Caenorhabditis elegans: one gene and its partners. The protein of the gene in region 3 purifies or fractionates together with the protein of the main gene of each other region. This does not show direct contact. Each region holds a gene or a part of one and is shown on either strand. Other genes may lie near its edges.

Region 1 (3,446 bases), on a different chromosome or scaffold from region 3:
TGACTTTTCGTGAACACGCAGAAATATCGACAACAGAATTGAAATCAAACTCTAATGATTTGGATTTTGAGTTTAGTTGAATACGTCGAAAATGAAAATGCAAGGAATCAATTTTTAAGCAGCAAGTTTTCATGTAAATTTCACATTTTTTCGAAGCAAGTGATAGTTCCAACCTGAATTCAAGGTGTTTGTCTTATTATATAAAGTATTAACTTACAAATCAATAAAGTCTATATGAAGAAGTACATTCTTCAAAGCAAGTGTAGGAAGTGATAATAAACGAAAAGGTGACATTTTTTTGAATAACTGGAAATACAAAATGGGGAGAAGAGATCTCGAGATGAACAGCATGCGGGGTCTACTTACTATTAGAAAACATCGATTGGTTTTCCCACAAGGTAAAAATATATGGTCTCGTTGCGAACGGGAATCTGGACTGTATAGTGGTGACCCTGCCCACTTCAGTCTACCCCTTCCAATTATTCTTATATCGTAACTTTGTGCAATTATGAGACTTCATACGATTTTCAGAAGAGAATGAACTGTGCTTCTAATTTAATCATAGTTCTTTAAAAAACAATTTTTTTCGCTTTCGTAGTCGGGAGGATTTCTTATTGATGCTCAGAGTGTTTCTTTCAATGTTGTAACATTTTTTGCAATATATGGGTTCATTTATCTTGATGAAAACATAACAAGAAATATAAAGATTCCTCTAGATCTTGTTGAAGGCGACAATGTCGACGGATTGGACGTGATCCTCGAAGTCTCCGGTGATCTTCTCGATGAGGTCATCAACCGAAACCTTGAGATCCTCGATAACAGTGATGATCTGGAGCTTCTTGATTCCTGAAAGTTTACATAAATTTTAATTGTGTGAATTTCAATCCACTAACCGTATCCAATTGGGATAAGCTTAGCTCCTCCCCAGACAAGTCCGTCCATCTCGATAGAACGAACGAGCTTCTCCATCTCTCCGAGGTCGGTCTCATCGTCCCATGGCTTTACATCAAGAATGACTGAAGATTTAGCAATTGGTCCAGCCTTCTTGGCCTTCTTCTCGGCGTAAGCGGCGAGACGCTCCTCAACGATCTTTGCCTTCTCGGCATCTTCCTCCTCATCGTCGGATCCGAAAAGATCGAAGTCATCTCCATCAGCAGCAGCGGCAGCTGGAGCTGATCCTCCGGCGGAAGCCCAGGTCTTGCGCTCAGCATCAGTGTAAGAAGCTACATTAGCGTACCAACGGGCAACATTTGGATAGGTGGAGGCGTTTGGGGCGGATCCGAGAGCGGCGAAAAGTTGGGCGTCCTCTCCAGACAAGACGAAGCTATAATTTTCAAATTATTTCAATGAATAGACTATCTGAAAAATTTACAAGAGTTGATTACACCTATTTTCTGCATTTTTTCCTAAAAATTGCATAACTTCAGAATTTAAAGACTAACCCAGTGGCAAAAGCCTGCTCGGCGAGAGTAGTGTTGAAAGCAGCAAGTCCAGCTGGGCTCTTGACGTCGGCAACCATCTTTTCAGGAGTGAAACACGAAGGAATGATGCTAAAAGTCCTACAAATAGGTTAGTGAATAAAATCGTTGCGAGACTCAAAGTCTGTCGAAACCCCATGCGCCTTCAAACGAGCATAGCGCCAGTGATCATTCAATGGCGTGTTTGCTGACCGGAGGCGCCCAAGTTTCGCGCTTTCATTTCTCCTCCCATTCATTTTCGGCATGCACGCCGTCTCTGCTGACCGATGCGTTATCATTTTCTTTTCGGTTCGCTGCGGAATCACTTGTTTTCGTTCCGAGGGGTTATTTACTGCAGAGAAAAGCTTTTTAATTGTTCCAAATTAAGTTTTAGGCCTGTGTTTATGAATATTATCCTTTCTTTTAATTTTTTTAAATAGGTTCTATTTCTTTCCCTTTGTCGGACAGGAATTTCTGTGAAAATCTTTCATTGTTCTGTAATTTACAGGAGAAACCATGAATTCTCTTCTTCGGTTGAGCCACTTGGCTGGACCTGCACATTATCGCGCACTTCACTCCTCTTCGTCCATCTGGGTATTCAAACCTAAGCATAATTATTATAAATCTTTTGTTTTCAGAGCAAAGTTGCAATCAGTAAATTCGAGCCGAAGTCGTACCTCCCGTACGAGAAACTATCTCAGACTGTGAAGATTGTGAAAGACAGGTGTGTAAAGTTCAATTTGTTTAGCTTGTCAAGTACAAAGTATCTTCACTGCTTTCTGTTCGTTATCATACAATTAATGATGTTTATGGTGAATAGTCATGTGCGCCACTGACATTACAACACATACAGTTCAGTTATAGGTTCTTTTATGTTATTTCTAACTCTCGAATAGTGAAAGCTCACCCAAATCGCAGTCACAAGCCAAGGGTCGCAGAGAGAAACAAACAGAGTTCCGTTGTAATAAGAAGATGGGTTAGAGCGTCATTGAGAGAACCAAGAAAACGTCGAATCTTTTCCATCTCTGTTCTCTGATTAATGTCAACATGTTGTGAGAGGGCGTTTTGACCATAATACAGTTTCATAAGTGTACATCACTATTCTTTTCAACTTTTGATGATGCAAAATCTAATTTCTGGTGTCATTAATTGTGATGTCACAATAGAAATTATGAAAATTATCTAGTTGAACGTTGCATAGAAATTCATGTGGACCACATTCTCTAGTCTCCAGACTGGTCGAACTTTGAAGCCGAGGTGATATTTGCCGTGTGACAGTACTTTGAACTCATGAAGGAAACATCGTTAAGTCTAACTAAAAACTTTAAAAATAGATTTTAGTTTTTCTACTGATAAAAACAAAAAATATATTGTTTCAGATTGAAACGTCCATTGACGCTTTCCGAAAAGATTCTCTATGGACATTTGGATCAACCAAAAACTCAAGATATTGAGAGAGGAGTTTCATACCTTCGTCTTCGTCCAGATCGTGTTGCTATGCAAGATGCTACCGCTCAAATGGCTATGCTCCAATTCATCAGCTCCGGACTTCCAAAGACAGCTGTTCCATCAACTATTCATTGCGATCATTTGATTGAAGCTCAAAAGGGTGGAGCCCAAGATTTGGCCCGTGCTAAGGTTTGTGATATTTGCGAAAAAATTATTTTACTTAAATTTTCTTCACCCTAAATATATTTCGATTTCTAGGACCTCAACAAAGAAGTCTTCAACTTCCTTGCTACTGCTGGAAGCAAATATGGAGTTGGATTCTGGAAGCCAGGATCTGGAATTATCCATCAAATCATTCTTGAGAACTACGCTTTCCCAGGACTTCTTCTCATCGGAACTGATTCTCACACACCTAACGGAGGAGGACTTGGAGGACTTTGTATTGGAGTTGGTGGAGCCGATGCTGTAGATGTTATGGCTGATATTCCATGGGAGCTCAAGTGCCCGAAGGTCATTGGAATCAAACTCACTGGAAAGCTC
Region 2 (4,639 bases), on a different chromosome or scaffold from region 3:
ATCCGGTGCTTTGATTCTTGGAAATGTTACCACTTATGATGAAAATGGAAAGAAGATTGCAATGCAACAATTCAGTACTTTTCAAACCGGTTCTGGTAACTTCGGAGGGGATCGTACATCACCTCATGAAATAAAAGCTGCCACTGTCCCAGATAGAGCTCCAGATGCAGTTATTGAACAAAAGACAACAGTTGATCAAGCTGCTCTTTATCGTTTGGGATCAGGAGATATGAATCCTCTTCACGTTGATCCAGAGTTTGCTAAGATGTCTGGATTCAAAACTCCAATTCTTCATGGATTGTGCAGTCTGGGATTTGCGACACGCCATGTTATCGCTGCTTGGGCTGGAAATGATTCTGACAAATTCAAAGCAATCAAGGTAGGTTTGATTAAATTTAACTTTAAAATATTTTCTGCTGATTCAAAAATCATTAATTTTCAGGTTCGATTCTCATCGCCAGTGCTTCCAGGACAAACATTGGTTACTGAAACCTGGAAGAATGGAAAACGAATTATTTTCCAAATGAAGGTTAAGGAAACTGGAAAAATTGTAATTTCCAACGCCTTTATTGACTTGCACGAGGCTTCCGAACTTCCAACAGTTCCAATTGATCTTGCATCAAAATTGTAAAAATTTAAAGAATTATTTATTCACTGGTAAGATTAAGTAGATCGTATTAGTTTTATCGTATTTTGTTTCCTGAATATCATATGTGAATAAACCGTTTTTTTCTTTTTCCACAAATTCTCTTGAAGATTATTATTTCCTTTTCTTCTTCCCAACAATATCATTGACTCCTGGGAATGTTACACCAACACCTGTATTCACCCCAACACCAGCCATCGGAACACCAACTCCAAAGTTTGTACCAACTTGACCATTTAGATAATCAACTCCAACGTGTTGATTCTGTTGATAATAAGGTCCAACTCCACCTCCAACATCTACGCCAATTGGTTTTCCAGCCTCTCCAGGTTTAAGGGGAACACTCACCTGAAATATTTTGATAGGAACTTATTCAACTTGTCACACACCGCTTCAAATATTAAAAAATGTACGCAATGCTTCTCTAAACTCGAATTCAAATTATGAACCGCCAAATTTGAAAAAGTTCGAGTAATAAATTTTCTGCATTAAAAAAACTCACAACAGCATGTGTGTCTCCTTCAATACCAAGTGATTGTACAAGTGGAACACTCCATCCAGACTTATATCCATATTTTCCTTCATACCAATTTGCTCCGATTTCTTGATATTGTGACCAATAGTCTCTTACACCAATATGATCGGAATAACCTCCTCCCCATGAACCAAATGGAACATTCATGAGCCTTCCTGCTCCAATTGCTCCTTCTTCGTTAATTGGATAGTACGGAATTCCTTTCACACTCCATGTTCCCAAGTTGAGACCTACATTTGAATCAAATGCATATGCAATATTATAAAGTGGATCTGACTTTGGAAGGAATCGTTGACAATCCTAAAGTAAAACCATTCAAATATAATATAAATTCAATTTCTAGAAACTCACATGGAAGTATCCCTTACATTTGCTTCCATACTTTTCCTCTGTCTTATTCCCACCGAAACAATGCTTCCTGACAGTTGGTAAAAATCGATTGCACAGTGCTTCCAAGTGTAAAGCTTTTCTGTGTACATCTGCATCTTCTGGACGTGGTTCAATTGCTGATGGTGGTCTATTCACAATCATTCCTCGAACATCAGCTGCCTTTGCCTTCTGATCAATCTGTGACTTATCAGTTATACCTCCAAATGGTGAACTGAAATATCAGACGATTATGAATATTTTCTGAATTATTAGAGGTACCTTGGTCTCTGAGATACTTCACTGTTATCAATATCAGCTCGATCAACTCCAAGAGCAGAGCTCCTCAATCCAAATTCTTCCATATTTTGTGCAAATCGTTGTTTTTCCTTTTCTTGTTGAGCAAGAAGTTGGTTATAACTTTAAAATAAAGTTTTGAATATTTCCAAAGTTTCAATTACTCACCGACTAACATGTGTATTAATTGCATACTGCTTCATTCGATCGAAATAATCCTGATAATATTGGTCTGAAGCAGCCTGTCGAGCCTTATTCGCTTCTTTTCTCTGTTGTCTCCATTGTTCCATCTGTCTCTCGTAAGCATCATCGTAACTTGGACGCCGATGTCTGGAACATATAACTTATTTCTGGATCTTCAATTATCTCGCTCACCTATGCCTTCTTCTAGGTTTTTGGGTTGTCTGTTCTACTTGTCCCCGTGCGAATTCACTTGGAGAATGATTATAAACTGGTCTTCCAGGTGATGTGTCTCTAAATTGATTAAGTTATAAGACAATATCGGAATTTTTTTGGCAACTTTTTTACAGATTTGTCGAGCATAAAATTAATATAAAATTTGAAAAATATACTCACAAGACTTGTTTACGCTAAAAGACTTATCTATAAGTTTATTAAAAAATTCCGCGGAAATAAAAATTTTCAATAACTTTTTCTTTTTAAGCTTACTTTGAAATTGGAATTGGTTCACCTCCATCCTGAGGTCGAGCTTCACTTCTCCAAATCAATAAAATGAGGAATGGAAGTAGTTGACGAAACATCGTCAAAAAAGCTGAGAAGACAAAGCAGTACTGAGTTTAACTGATAAGGTTAGTTAGCAACAAAATAATGATTACTGCAGAGGGTTTCTCGACGTCTTCACTTCAAGTCAACCGCCCGTATGACCTTGCTGACCGGTAGAAAATAATAGATGATGTTGTAGTTTGTATAGCCTCCTATTGTCTAAGCATTGATAATAATCCTATGGTTTGTGATTAAGAGAATGATTGGAATTACATTGTGAACCAAGTGCGTGTGAAATCAAATATAAAATAAATTCCCAGAATCCTTCGTGTTGAGTCATGTTTTTTAAAGGGTTTTAAAATCTCAAATTATCTCAAATTATCTGAAAAACTTTCAAGGTACTATTTCGATAATACTGAAAATGCTTCAAAAAATCAGTTTCCCCAGTCGGGAATTTTTTGATATTTCTGGGAAAAAATATGTTTGTTAAATACAAAAAAGTGTACACCTTTAAGGAGTACTGTAGTTTCAAACTAGAACAGTTTTCATCGAGTTAACAGAAAAAACTGTTATTTTTTTAATCGAGAGAAAAACAATGAAAAAATGTGAAACTACAGTACTCTTTAAAGGCACACACTTTTTTGTATTTAATAAAAATGTGTCGTGTCGAGAGCAGATCCCGAATTTCTGGCTCAAAAATCGAAATTTTCGCGTATGTGACAGAACAAAAAATATTTTCTTCAATTATAACCAATACGAGGTTCACAAAAATAATAATTTCCTCTCATTCTGTCAGATATAGGCGGGTGTACCCTTTACAACAATAGTGACAGGCGAAACCCTCAAAGTGTCTGCCGCATCAAAGCGGGTGTATATATAAACAAGAGGAGAAGAGGGAGAAGGCCGCATGACGGCAAGGCGAGTACTCGCAGCCACGAAACGTTCCCTGTTGAGCGCGCTAACTGTGAGCGAAAGTCCCTGGACCACTGGCAGAAAGTGTCACCCTCTAGGTTGGGTACTCTTTGGAGTTTTAGTCATAGCACAGAGACGCTCCTTAGAACAGCATAGGGCCTACTCTGATCGTCATGCTTTTGCAACATTTTGAAAGTCGACAGGAAACGGTGCTCTGTGAACCATAAAATATGTTATTTCCTCTATCAAAGAGCCCTTTGACACTTATGCTCACGACATGTTGACTCTGTAATACATATTTTTCACTCACAAGGCTTCTTTAAAATTCCATCACGCTGTCTTCCATCTAATCCTAGTGATATTCGTCTGGGATGGCAAAAATTAATAGAGAATGTCGAGAGAAGTCTTTGCCAGCTATCAGATTAGTGTCAGTTGATATCCACATTTTTTTAATTCTTATTAACATTTCGAAATTATTCCAGAAAGCCTGTCGATTACTTTTCGGATATTTCCGATTGGACAACATCAAAAAGATACTACGTTCGGAATAGAGATATTGTAAAAGAGAATATTCGTTTAATAAAGTCGAGTCTCCCACGAGATCCTGCTGTTCGAAAGGTAACTCTATAGGGCAAATTCGAATATGAGAGAAACAGTTTAGAAATACTGCGAGAGCTTGTATTAATTATATTCCAAAAAAAAAATCGTTTCCTAAACTTCAGGTACCTCCATTCTCCTATCAATCGTATCAACAAAATACAAGTGTTGTCCCATTACCAATGATTGCTCCCAGCCGTACCAGAAGCGTTGATTCTAATGTTAGTTTTCCTTTCTTTATTTAGATTCATTTATTTTTCTTCAAACGTTTTTAATCGTTTAGCTATCAGGTATCTGATGACTGCAGTCAATTCCGAGCACTTTTCTCTCGTGGAGATCTTCATGTCAGAATTATTCATTCAGGAGGAGCCGGTGAAAAGTGAGAGAATTTCAAGAGCAAAAAAAAAAAGATAACTTTTAGACCTCGGGAGTTGCGTTGGGCAAAGGATCCATCTCAAATGAAAAATGAAACAATTTGTAATCTACTTGCAAAGTTCTCCACGGGAATGTCACTTTTAGATCATGTAAGACGAATTGTTGGAGAACTTTGATAACCTTAAATT
Region 3 (3,367 bases):
TCAAGTGATGAGACTCAATCTCGAGGTTTATTTCTAGATAATTATTTCTAGTTAAAAGTTGAATTTTTAGACCGATCTGGTTCGGGTGTATCAGGAACTTCATCGAATGGCGAGGTATCATCTACTCCGGGTAGGACTGTTTGGCACGGAGGTGCGTGTGCATTGCTCCAGATTTCCCAAGATAAGAAGAACATTTTGTTCACGGCAATTCACAACGAGAAGTTCGCATGCGAACTTGCTAGATTCCGCTTTTCTACATCTAAATAAATGTCCACCAACATTCATTTAAAAATTGTATCTATCGTTGTATGATAACTAATCTTTAAAATTTTTCCGACTTCCAATTGATCGCAAGTTTGTGAAACCATAAATAGCTTAACCCTGTATTTTATTTTCTTTATCAGAAATGCCTTTCGCGATGTTTAGCGAAATAATTTGGGTATCAGAATAGGAAGTTAGTTTCTGCTAATAATGTTTCAAATTTGATTTCGGAAGAGCAAGTAGATATATTAATGATTGTATTCAAGTTCTGTAGCTTTGTTCTAAGGTCCACTAAAGACGTATAATATTTTGTAGACTGATTATTTCACTATTCAAAAAAGTGAGAACTATACAGGTGTATATATTCAAACGTTTCGGGCGAAGTTTTTCTTTAATAACTTTTTTTTCTGATTCATAATTTGCGCCATCATCTTACTTTCTTGTTAATGGAGATGTATCATGAAGTTTTTTATAACAACAACATTTATAACACAAACAACGAGTGTTTAGGCTTGTTGTCCAGAGGATCTGAGGCTGGTGGCGATTCTGTCAAGATCCTTGCGTCCCTGCAAAATTTAGTTTTAGTACGATGTTGAAAATTTCGAGAAAATTCAAAAAAGAAAACATGCAGAAATTTAATTTTAATATAAACATCTAATTTTGCATGTTTAATTTTCAGCGCATATATTTATGAATAATTTTTAATAATTTATTTTTACAAAAAAGTTCGAATTTTATATTTTTAGATAATAAAATAGAATACTCACCTGCTTGGAGAGAATTCTTCCTTTGCCGTCTGGGTGCTTCTCAACCCACTTGATCTTCTCGAGTTGCTGAACAGCCTTTCTGAGGCAGTTTCCAGCTGAGGTTTGGAAATGGTTTGGTGCAACACCACGTCTCTTGTTTCCTCCGTAGACCTTCTTGAAGGCTCCGATTCCTAAATAGAAAAATAAGTAATGATTTTGTCAATAAAAAGTTACCGGCGGGGCGGAAATACAAGTGACGAGCAAGACTGGCAGCACGGGTGTAGAACCAATCTGGATCGACTGGGGCAAGCTCCTTGTTGACTCCGAGCTTAACAAGATCGGACCACTCTGGAACCTTAACCTTTCCACTCTTCTTCAAGAAGTGAGCGATGGACTTGGTAGCCTCGTGCTGGTCGACGTCCTTGATGGAGGTCGCTCTCGTCATTTTACCTGAAAAGGAAAAGTATAGCTTTGAAAAAATCGTATATTAGAAGACGGAAAGAAAACCCACTGCCAAAAAAACTATTCTTAACAACAAGCGCTTCAGAAAGTGGATATTATTTAAGAAAACTGTAAACGTAACATATTTCCTCCCAATCAATACATAGAAACTCGAAAAACCGTGAAAATCGCGTCAAAAAATTGAAAAAACCTGTAGGAAAAGAAACGAAAAAATTCTTCACCGCTGATCGTAAGACATAACCTGCATACCAATTGGCTGCGTAGCGACTCGGCACGCGACCGCAACGCACCGGGCGACACTCAGTACATTTTTTGAACAGCGGGGGCGGGCGTTTGAATTGAATTTTCAAACGATTTTTTTTGACGTCGTAACTTTTTGTTTCGCAGACACTTTTACGCTTAAAATGGCAAAATTAAACACATATGTTACAGCATAGACTTGAAGAACTGAACTGCTTGGAGGAAAATGGCATCGTCTTCGAACACTATGGGTAATTTTTTCGATATAATAAGAATGTGAAAGGTTAATTAATATTTTTGCGGGTCAAGCATATAAAATTCAACCTTATTGAAATTAAGGTGGTCACTCGAAGTGAATATCGACTCTAAAAATTAAACTTAACTTACGTGAAGTTTTCCTTTTATTTTCTGTTTTCAGAATTCGAAGAAGACGACTCCACCGTCACACAGACAAGGTTACCTGCTTTTCGAGTATCCATACATATTTATCCCACTATTTCAGCCTCCCCACAACAACTTCAGTTCTGGATAAAAGTAGGAGTCTTTTTGGGAACTCTGCTGTGATTTCTGTAAGTCCAGTGTGTTTGTATTAATCTAAAATTTGCTTACTTAGACCCCAGCTAGAGATTCAACTCCTGATGGGCACATAGTCGATTCGAGTGTCATTACCAAGTCATCAGTTATCATAGAAGCGGAAGACGAGCCAGATGTAGCTGCCGATGTTACTGCACTTGATAAAGAAAAGGCAGAAGATGAGCCACAATGTTCAGCCGGTAAGGATGCTAAATCTGGAGAAAGCATGAACGACTCGGAAAAGTCTGAATCACCAATTGAAGAAGGAGAGGGAGAAACTTTCGAGAAAAAAATTATCTCGATGGATACTAGTGACGATAAATTAGACATTGCTGAATCGATTTCTGTTTCAAATGATACCGAGAAACCTGAAGAAAATGAAGAAAAGGTGGTTGGAGATGAAGATGAAGAAGATATTGATGATGTGCAAGAAGACGACGAAGACGAAGCTCCAAAAAAGAAAACTAAGGTTTGTTGATAATTCGAAAAACCTAATTTTAATCAATTAATATTGAAGAAGGCAGTGTCAACGTCAGATGACGACGATCTGCATGAAGATGATTCTCCAAAAGGAGGTAGTGTGAGCGACGAGAAAGAAGAACCAGAGAATGAGGACGATACAGAGGAACCCGAAAATGAGGTTGAAGTAGAAAGTCCAGTGAAAGAGCAAGCAGATAGTGGTGAACCTATTGAGAATGTTAATGATGACAAGGCGTCTGAACCAGGCGTTGGTGAGATTTCACAAGACAGTGTTGATGATTCTCAAAAAATTGGTCTCGATTCAAAATCGCCAGATGGAGAATCAGAAGCAAATGAAGAGAACCAAGAATCTCAATCTTCTAGCCGCAGCACTCGTCGCGCTAAAAGAGTTTCAGCAACTGTTTCGTCTACTCCTTCGTCAAACACTCCACGCCGTGGTGGTCGTGGGCAAAAATCGGAAGTGAATGCAGATGAAACGAAAACGCCCATTGTTAGTAACAGCACCCCCAGGCGTGGTCGATCTTCCAGGGGTGGAGACAGAGATGAAGTAATTGATCCTACGGAGAATGTTGTTGGCGACTCTGGCGTTGAAGAAACATCACCGC

The links. The genes of interacting proteins can lie anywhere in the genome.
Region 1: the proteins of rps-19 (region 3) and eef-1B.1 fractionate together in Caenorhabditis elegans (co-fractionation; one large-scale study listed by BioGRID). This does not show direct contact.
Region 2: the proteins of rps-19 (region 3) and E04F6.6 fractionate together in Caenorhabditis elegans (co-fractionation; one large-scale study listed by BioGRID). This does not show direct contact.

What each region holds. Positions count from the first base shown.
Region 1 is NC_003281.10:7,971,752-7,975,197, forward strand, and holds eef-1B.1 (putative elongation factor 1-beta/1-delta 1), read right to left. Parts: upstream 1,636-3,446; 5' UTR 1,520-1,635; coding exon 1,443-1,519; intron 1,325-1,442; coding exon 894-1,324; intron 847-893; coding exon 713-846; 3' UTR 631-712; downstream 1-630. Other genes in the region: F54H12.5 (uncharacterized protein), read right to left, coding at 1-173, 218-351; aco-2 (putative aconitate hydratase, mitochondrial), read left to right, coding at 1,974-2,051, 2,096-2,181, 2,837-3,095, 3,165-3,446. UniProt on the Caenorhabditis elegans protein: EF-1-beta and EF-1-delta stimulate the exchange of GDP bound to EF-1-alpha to GTP.
Region 2 is NC_003280.10:7,196,761-7,201,399, forward strand, and holds E04F6.6 (uncharacterized protein), read right to left. Parts: upstream 2,806-4,639; 5' UTR 2,606-2,805; coding exon 2,514-2,605; intron 2,319-2,513; coding exon 2,220-2,318; intron 2,175-2,219; coding exon 2,013-2,174; intron 1,968-2,012; coding exon 1,830-1,967; intron 1,783-1,829; coding exon 1,533-1,782; intron 1,482-1,532; coding exon 1,149-1,481; intron 995-1,148; coding exon 761-994; 3' UTR 632-760; downstream 1-631. Other genes in the region: maoc-1 (MaoC-like domain-containing protein), read left to right, coding at 1-379, 443-631; pcrg-1 (Parkin coregulated gene protein homolog), read left to right, coding at 3,851-3,906, 3,962-4,097, 4,202-4,297, 4,367-4,455, 4,498-4,600.
Region 3 is NC_003279.8:9,624,340-9,627,706, forward strand, and holds rps-19 (Small ribosomal subunit protein eS19), read right to left. Parts: upstream 1,458-3,367; 5' UTR 1,453-1,457; coding exon 1,242-1,452; intron 1,199-1,241; coding exon 1,029-1,198; intron 828-1,028; coding exon 768-827; 3' UTR 729-767; downstream 1-728. Other genes in the region: T05F1.2 (F-box associated domain-containing protein), read left to right, coding at 1-25, 71-267; Protein hsr-9, read left to right, coding at 1,936-1,960, 2,128-2,164, 2,212-2,278, 2,323-2,751, 2,800-3,367.